Linked DNA regions of Macaca mulatta. The protein of the gene in region 2 purifies or fractionates together with the protein of the main gene of each other region. This does not show direct contact. Links are inferred from orthologs where the notes say so. Each region holds a gene or a part of one and is shown on either strand. Other genes may lie near its edges.

Region 1 (3,805 bases), about 100 Mb from region 2:
TTAAAAAAACAATGATGTTCCTGCAGTAAGTTTTAAAATTGTGGGTAAAAGAATAGTAACCCCGCAAGGAGGTCACAATTGAGCTTGCATTTTTACCTCCCCTGGCTCCAGCATTTGAAACTTTAGATCTGGTCACTGTGGCCTGCCAAGGAGAAGCTGCCTGTAGTGGGAGCCAGGCCACAGGGTGGGACGTTGGAGTGGAAACGGCCAGTTCCACCCTATAAAACTTTAATGCGGTTGTTTTATTTTTCTGGAAGAAATGGAACGCTCAGGGATGGGACTGAGGGGAAGCAGCCGTGGGCCACCTGGTGCTTTTGAACTGGTCGCCGGAGGGTGTCGACAGTGTCAGGCCATCGGGATTTCTCCTGGTTCCCCTCCAGGGCAGCCTGACCTGCCTCTCCCCAGTGTCCCAGCACACAGAGGAGAGCAAGCCTTGGGCGGGCACAGCACCGCAGCTCTGTGTGGATCTGTGAAGGAGCGGAAGGATGAAATGCCCCTGGGCTGCAAGCCTTCTTTCCAGAATGGCCAAAGGAAAGAAGGAATTATTGGCCCATCCTTTTTGCCAGCAAAGTAGGGTTTTTTTGTTTGTTTTTCTTCCCCCTCTTTTGATGTGGGGCTGCTCTCCCTATAAGCTGGCTGAAAGAGAAAACCGTGTGCTAGAACCAAGCCATCTGTCGCCAACAGGAAGGGTATTAGCAGGTCTGTTCTGAGTTGCTCTTCTCTCGGTAGTGTTCGTGTGCCTCGTAAGTTAACCTGCAAGAATCCAGGAGAATAAGCCAGAAAGGCTCACGGAGCCCATGCTGCCAGTCATCTGAGCCCTGCTAAACCTCAGGTCTAGCAGGGGCAGTCAGTCCCTCTCCAGGTGTTCCGGGAACATTCCAGAATGGCCTGATCTCTCCAACTCTGTATGGGGCCGGTCCAGACCAGGAGGGCCCTATGGAGGCAGATGGGGCCTTGGGCCCTGGACCAAAACACTCATCTGCTTAGCTCGCCTTGCCCCAAGAAGGGAGAGTTTGGAGACAGACTGGAATAAAGGAAATGATCTTCTGGAGTGGGGTCTCTGAGTGCCAGTATTGGCCGGTGTCCTGGACATCACCTCTGCCAGCAGTGAGCGCTGAGCCCCACAGGTGTGTCTGTTCATCCAGTGGTCCTTTTCCTCTAGAAGGAAAGGATGCCTGTGCTACACCTTGCCAGAGCCAGGCCCTTCCCCACCCTGTGCAGTTTGACCAGTGATGAGCTCAGCATCTGGCACCTGACACATCCATCCCACAGGTGTTCCCTGAGTGGCACTTGTGTTAGCCAGGCAGCCCTGCCCTCATATGCCCTCCTGCAGACTCGCCTGTGGGCGCACCATGGTGTATTCGGTTTGATAGCTTAATCACAGTGGTTAGTGCCACAGAGGGCACGGGACAGAATGTGGTCCTGCCGCAGGGGCTGGCTGCAGCCTGCCTGAGGGAGCCCTCGGGGCGGGGCCAAGGGTAGCCCACCTGAGTATCAGCCCTCCTGGATGCTCCACAGGTCTGAGGGTTGGAGTGAGGGCAGACCAGCCAGGGCACCCTCATTCTCCTGGGAGGATGCTTTGCTTCCTTGGTCTGATGGTCTCTTAGTTACATTACACTCTGGTGTATTCGCGTACTGATTTTTCACAAAAGCTTTTTAGTCTGGAACAGTATGACTTACTGTCAAATTGCAAAAAAAAAAAAAAAAAAAAAATACAGAGAATTCTTGTATACCCATCACCCACATTCTGTAAATATTCACATTTACCGTCTGTATTTTTTATTATAGAATAGCTTTGGTGAGACATAATCTACAGATACATGTTAATTTCTAGTACTTAATTTTACATTAACCGTTTGGTAGGTGTCTACTTTTCCTAATTGTTTGTCTCTCAACAGCCATAGAAAGTAGATTAAGTCCCTAAAGTCCATGTTCACGCCACTGGTCCCTTAGTAAACAGTTGGACGCATGCATGCGTGAGCATAGCTCATAGCTGGGGCTGGGCGTGCTAGAGCTGTCATTGGGTCCGTCTGACTCCCAAGCCTGGGCCCACCTTCCCAGCTGTCTGGGGCTGAGGGCGGTGTGCTCCCAGAATACGCCTGTCGCACCAGGGCTTTGGGGCTTAATAGGGGTCAGAGAGGCCCCAGACTTCCTGATAAAGATGTGCTCACCATGAGAGATGCGATTGCTTACAGTTTCACTGGTTATCAGCAGAGATGAGATTTCTCTTTTTGGGGCTTAATTGGGGTCGGAGAGGCTACAGATTTCGCCACAAGAAATGAGATTTCGCTGGTTATCACCAGCATTTGCAGTTCCCATCAGCTGACTCCACCCCTCACCTCTGCTCACGGCAGCCCCAGCGAGCCACAGTAGTTGACCTGGGTCTGTTGGGTTTGGGATCCCAGACTGATTCCCATTTCTCATCTAACCTTTTCATTCCCTCTGCCATTTGATCGTAATTAGAAATCCCTCTTCCATTTGATCATAATTAGAAATGTTTCTGGGCCAGATGCAGTGGATCACTTGAGGTCAGGAGATCGAGACCAGCCTGGCCAACATGGCGAAACCCCATCTCTACTAAAAATACAGAAATTAGCCGGGCGCAGTGGTGCACACCTGTAATCCCAGCTACTCAGGAGGCTGAGGCAGGAGAATCGTTTGAACCTGGGAGGTGGAGGTTGCAGTGAGCCGAGATGGTGCCACTGCACTCTGGCCTGGGAGACAGTAAGACTTCATCTCAAAAAAAAAAAAAAAGAGAGAGAGATGTTTTTGTATGGACTCGGATTTGAGGAGGAAGCACTGTCTCAAGCTGAGCCCTTCATTTCCGGCTAGCGCTTTGTAGGAAGTTGCTCCGAAAGACCAGCTGGAGCCCTGGTCAGGAGGGATCAGCGTGTAGGGAGTTTGTTGCTGTATTTTCTCATCTGCCTTGTAACCCAAAAGACAGAAATATCGAACAACCGTGGTCACTCCAGTAGTCATAGCCTGCATGGATTGTCACTGGATGTCACTCGTGCTGCGTTCTTTATCTGGGAGGAATGTGACGCCTAGAGAGGTCCAGTAAACCAAAGACCACAAAGCTAAGGGAGGTGGCAGAGCCCAAACTCAAGTTCATCTTTATGATGCCTAAACCTACTACACCCCCAAAAATGCTGCACCCTCTCCCCGAGCCAGAGAACAATCAGAACACACCCAAGGATCGGCTCCTATAACTGTTGCAGGGAGGACCCTAAATCCCAGAATCTTTGCTGAGCAACAGCCTGGGACCCAGGCTGATTATCTGTCCTTTAGCATCTAACAGGCACATTGGCCTGTTTCCTGCAGGTATTTTGAAGGCGGCGTCTCATCTGTCTACCTCTGGGATCTGGATCATGGCTTTGCTGGAGTGATCCTCATAAAGAAGGCTGGAGATGGATCAAAGAAGATCAAAGGCTGCTGGGATTCCATCCACGTGGTAGAAGTGCAGGTACCGCCTCCCAGCAGCTGGTGGCCGGGGCCACTAAGTACAGAATCACACCAAACAGTGCCGCGCTGCTCTCTAGCAGATGCAGTGAGGGGGATGCTATGATCTCTGAACCCCTCATTCTGAGAAATGCCTCCAAGCCATTTGGATAAAGATAAGTCAAGATTGCAGTAGTCGCCAGGCGCGGTAGCTCAAGCCTGTAATCCCAGCACTTTGGGAGGCTGAGACGGGTGGATCACGAGGTCAGGAGATCGAGACCATCCTGGCTAACACAGTGAAACCCCGTCTCTACTAAAAAATACAAAAAACTAGCTGGACGAGGTGGCGGGCGCCTGTAGTCCCAGC
Region 2 (4,295 bases):
GAGACAGCTGGCTCCGTGACCAGTCAGATGGTCCTGACTCATAGGACACCAGACATCCTAGGCTGAGGTCATTCCATCCTTTCCCCTGTCTCTGTACCTCTTCCTCACAAGCAAGGATCAACTATACTTTTGCCCCCAGACTCTGCTCTTTGGGCAAATACAAACAAGCAATGGATGTTTTATTCCTCTTACCCTTTCACTATTACGTTTTCCCTGACTTGTAGGAAGTTCTCCCTGATTGGTAACTAGAGTTTCCTGCAATTAAGAAGTTCGGGGAAGACAGGAGATACACTTTGACACTTGCTTTTTTTTTTTTTTTTTTTTTTTAAATTAGAAAGCCGGAAAGTTGTGGAGAAAACTTTCTGGAGGATTTGTGATTGGGCAGCCGTAACTCTTAAAAATAAATCCTCCTGGCCGGGCATGGTGGCTCACATCTGTAATCCCAGTACTTTGGAAGGCTGAGGCTGGTGGACCACTTGAGGCCAGGAGTTTGAGAGCAGCCTGGTCAACAATGCGAAACACTGTCTCTACAAAAAATACAAAAACTAGCCAGACATGGTGGCACCCACCTGTAGTCCCAGCTACTCGGAGGATGAGATGGGAGGATCACTTGAGCCCTGGAGGTGGAGGTTGCAGTGAGCTGTGATCGAACCACTGCATTCCAGCCTGGGTGACAGACCAAGAAAAGTGCCTTCACCTCACTCCTAAGACTTTCCATCACCAACTTCCTAGCTTTGTGTAAACAGTTAGGTTTCAATACCCTTAAGAGGGATCTCTTTGGCTGTGGCACAGCTTAGTTCTTCCCTAGATGCCTCAGTAGATGTTCTTCTAGATGAGTACTTTGTCTCAGGGTGTGTGTGTATCTGTTTCAATACCATAAAAGGTTTTATTTACCTAAATATAATCTACTGAATAAGGGTGTCTACTGCAGAAAGTAGAAGAGGTTAGAACTCAGGGAGGACTTCCCAGTTAGCTCTGGGTGAGGGAACACAGAATCCCTCCTGTGAGGGCGAGAGGAAGAGCCACTCTAACTGGTACACAGGACAGTCTCCCAGGCTATACCGACAGTCACAGAGGCAGGGAATGGAGTGACTTCTAACCACTGGAGGGGCAATTCTGATTTCTCAACATGAGTACACGTTATTGACCCCAAGACTTAGGGAAAAAAGGGAGATGGGTCTGGATTCAATTATCATAGCTCAGGTTTTGACACAGTGTAGACTGGTTTTCATGGTTAAATACACAGCCAAAGGTATCCAAAGACATACAGGGGTTCTTAACTCCATTCTTCTCCCTTCTGATACAAATGGGGGGGGGTGGGCAGGAAGTGGGTAGAAAATGGGTTCCTTGCCTTTTTAAAATGGGGTGGGGGTGGGGAACAGAGAGCATACTGGTTAGGGACACTGCCTTCAACGAAAATAACTGCCACTCACAGACCCGAGGTCACAGGGGCCAGACAGCGGGGTGCGTGTGTATTTTCTGTGATTCAGGGCGGATGCGCCACGGACAGGACCTGTGCACGCTCCTGCCACAGACAGGAAAGGGGAGGCTGGCTGGGGTAGGGTCGGGGGACAGAAAGGGGTGGCGAATAGGCTAAACTGTTTCAGCAGAAATAACAAAGAAAATAAATCCTATATTCAGGAGGCCGGTTAGGGTGGGAGGCAGCAAGGGACACTCAGGACTTCTGGGGCGTCTTGGGAGGGGCTTATCATTGTTGTTAGAAAGGTATTTGCAAACAAAAAAACACTGAGTAAGCGGCCAGCTCAACTTCTAATTCTCACTCGGGTCTTCTCACTAAAGGGTGACCTTTCTCTGCAGATGCGATGGGGGTAGAGAGTCAGGAGACCACTGAACTTGCCTTTGGAACAAAACGAGGGTGGAGTAAGCTAGGCGAGCCCTTGTGGAGTGACAAAGTGGGGGGTATGAGAAAACGCAGAGTTAGAGGCAAGAAGCACCCACCTCCTTCTCAGAGATGTAGAGCTGGTCCCCTTTCAGCACCACATAGCGGTTTTTCCAAATCTCCCTGAAAATCCCTTTCCCGCAGAATTTCCGGACCCAGCCGACCTTCTCGGGCGGTGCAGGCTGCTGGTTTCCATCCTGAGGCCCCTGCCCCAGGACAAGATGAGAAGCGGGCGGTTAGGAGATTCCAGCCGCGGCTTCCTCTCCATCCGTCTCTCACGACCGCCTCAGCGGCCCCGTCTCCTCCGAAGGCTGCGGCCGGGGGTGGGGGGGGGCGCCCCAGGTTCGCTCCCACTTCGGAAAGGTTTTCACTCCAAGGAACTCCCCCCGTTCCCCTCCCCTGCTCCCGAATAAACAACCGGGGCTGCGAGTGGCAGGGGCGCGGGCCGGGCGCGGAGGGGCTCCCGGGCTCCCTCCAGGCCCTGCGTCCCCGCCGCCCCGTGCTCGCCGCGCGGGGACTAACGGCGTTTCTTTGGTTTTCTCTCCCATTGTCTCCTCGCCACGGCGGAGCGCAAGGCAAACGCCCGCCCGGCGTCCAGGGGCGGGGGAGGCGCGGGTCGGGGGGAAACTCAGCCAAGTTGAATCCCCCTGAGGCGAGTAAACAAACAAAAGCCCCCGCCGGCGCCTCGCGGGGCCCAGAGCCCCGGCCCGGGGCCGAGGCCAAGGGGACCTGGCCGCCGGGGCGGGGGAGCGGCCGGGGCGGGTGTCTCTCAGGCTGCCGCGGCGCCGACGGGGCCGGGGTCGTCGGAGCGTGGAGGCGGCGGCGGCCGCAGGGCGGGCGGGCGCACTCACCCGCTTGGCGGAATTGTTCTTCTTCATCATTCCCAGCGGGCGCGAGCGCGGGGCTGCGGGCCGAGGGGCGGCCCCGCGTCGGGGCCTCGGCGGCTCCGCGGGGGCTCCTTCCCCGCGGGAGGGCGTCGGAGCTGCCCCGGCGCCGCCGCTGCTCCTCCCTCGCGCCCTCCCGCTCCCGGACTCTCCCCTTCTTTGTAGCTCCGGTTTCACTCAAGGCCGGCCTCCCTCGCGTTCGCACTCGCACACACACGCACGCCCGCTCCCCGCCCCTCGGCGCCCTCCATCCCGGCGCCCACGCGGCCCGGGTCCCCGAGCGCGCCCCCGCCAGCCGCCGGCCCGGCCCAGCGCGGCCGCTCCCCCGGCCCGGTGCGCTGTGGGCGGCCCAGCCCGCGCCCCGCAGCTCCATCCGCGGGCCGCTGACGTTGCGAGTTCAGAATAAAGGGCGAATCGCGGAGCCGCAGCTCGGGCGCTCCCCCCGCCCCCCCGCCTTTGTTTCTGACTCACGGAGGGGGAAGAAGGCGGCCTCCAAGCGGCCGGAGACCGCTTCCCAGGGGGCAGGGACCCTCGCTCCGCGGCGGCTCGGGCGACACGCGGAGCCCAAGAGACCCGGCCGCCGGCCGCCCCGGGGCCCAGTGGGCGGGCGCGGTGATAATGGAGAGACGTGCGGATTCGTGAAGACCGGAGATCGCCAGCCTCTAGAGCATCGCCTTTCTTGACCAAAAACAAAAACGAGAGCGGGAGCCCGGAGGGCGCGCCACCCAGAACTCTCATCAGGAATTCACGCTCCTAGGTGCTAGGGTGGCCTGGGCAGGTCAGATGCTGGGAAAAGTTTTATGCTCCGGAGGGGATCGACGTGTTGGGGGATGGGGTGGGACAGAAGTTTCTATTAATACACGTTTCTTCCAGTGTACAAAGCCTCAGGCCTTATTGTAGCCTCAGGAGAATAATCCTAAGGATGAGGCGGATTTTATGATCTCCATCTCACAGGGAGAAAACGGAGACTCAGAATAGCTGAGGGATTTGCAGACACAGTGTCAAAGCTGGCAGGAATAGAATTGTCTCCAAACCATGATCCTTTATACCAAGTGGCTTTCAATGTAAGTTCCAGGTGAGGCTTAAACTTCCTGCCACCTGGGTATCTTTTCCCGCTGCACTAATAGGTAAAAATCCCATCCTCTCTACAGCGCTGGAGCCCAATGGAGGGAAGGGCTGAACGCCCAGAGAATGCCCTGACTAGGGAAGCCTCTGCTGATCCCTCCTACAGCAGATCTGCCTCAGAGCTTCCAGGACACATCTTAGTAACTTCATGTCTTTTCAGTATATATATGTGTGATGGAAAAGGGGAGTGAGAAACCCCACTCTTAGGTATTGGTTTCATCACCACTGTGGGCTTTGGTCAAGTCACTGAATTTCTTTAGGCCTGCATCCCTCCACATATTAAGTGGTGAGGGATGAACTGCCATTTTTATCAACAAGGAAAGTTAGGGGAAGATATGAGATGACCTCTGAGAGTCCTTTGAAGATATGTGTTGTCTTCCAGGGCT

Evidence for each region.
Region 1: the proteins of PLEKHO1 (region 2) and CAPZB purify together in Homo sapiens (co-immunoprecipitation; 3 studies listed by BioGRID and IntAct, counting the BioPlex papers as one, with this or other methods). This does not show direct contact. The link is inferred for Macaca mulatta from reciprocal best matches to the Homo sapiens genes PLEKHO1 and CAPZB.

What each region holds. Positions count from the first base shown.
Region 1 is NC_133406.1:221,614,647-221,618,451, forward strand, and holds part of CAPZB (F-actin-capping protein subunit beta), read left to right. Parts: intron 1-3,321; coding exon 3,322-3,463; intron 3,464-3,805. UniProt on the Homo sapiens protein: F-actin-capping proteins bind in a Ca(2+)-independent manner to the fast growing ends of actin filaments (barbed end) thereby blocking the exchange of subunits at these ends.
Region 2 is NC_133406.1:116,993,201-116,997,495, forward strand, and holds the start of PLEKHO1 (pleckstrin homology domain-containing family O member 1), read right to left. Parts: upstream 2,814-4,295; 5' UTR 2,782-2,813; coding exon 2,752-2,781; intron 2,463-2,751; exon of another isoform or gene 2,107-2,462; coding exon 1,960-2,106; intron 1-1,959. UniProt on the Homo sapiens protein: Plays a role in the regulation of the actin cytoskeleton through its interactions with actin capping protein (CP).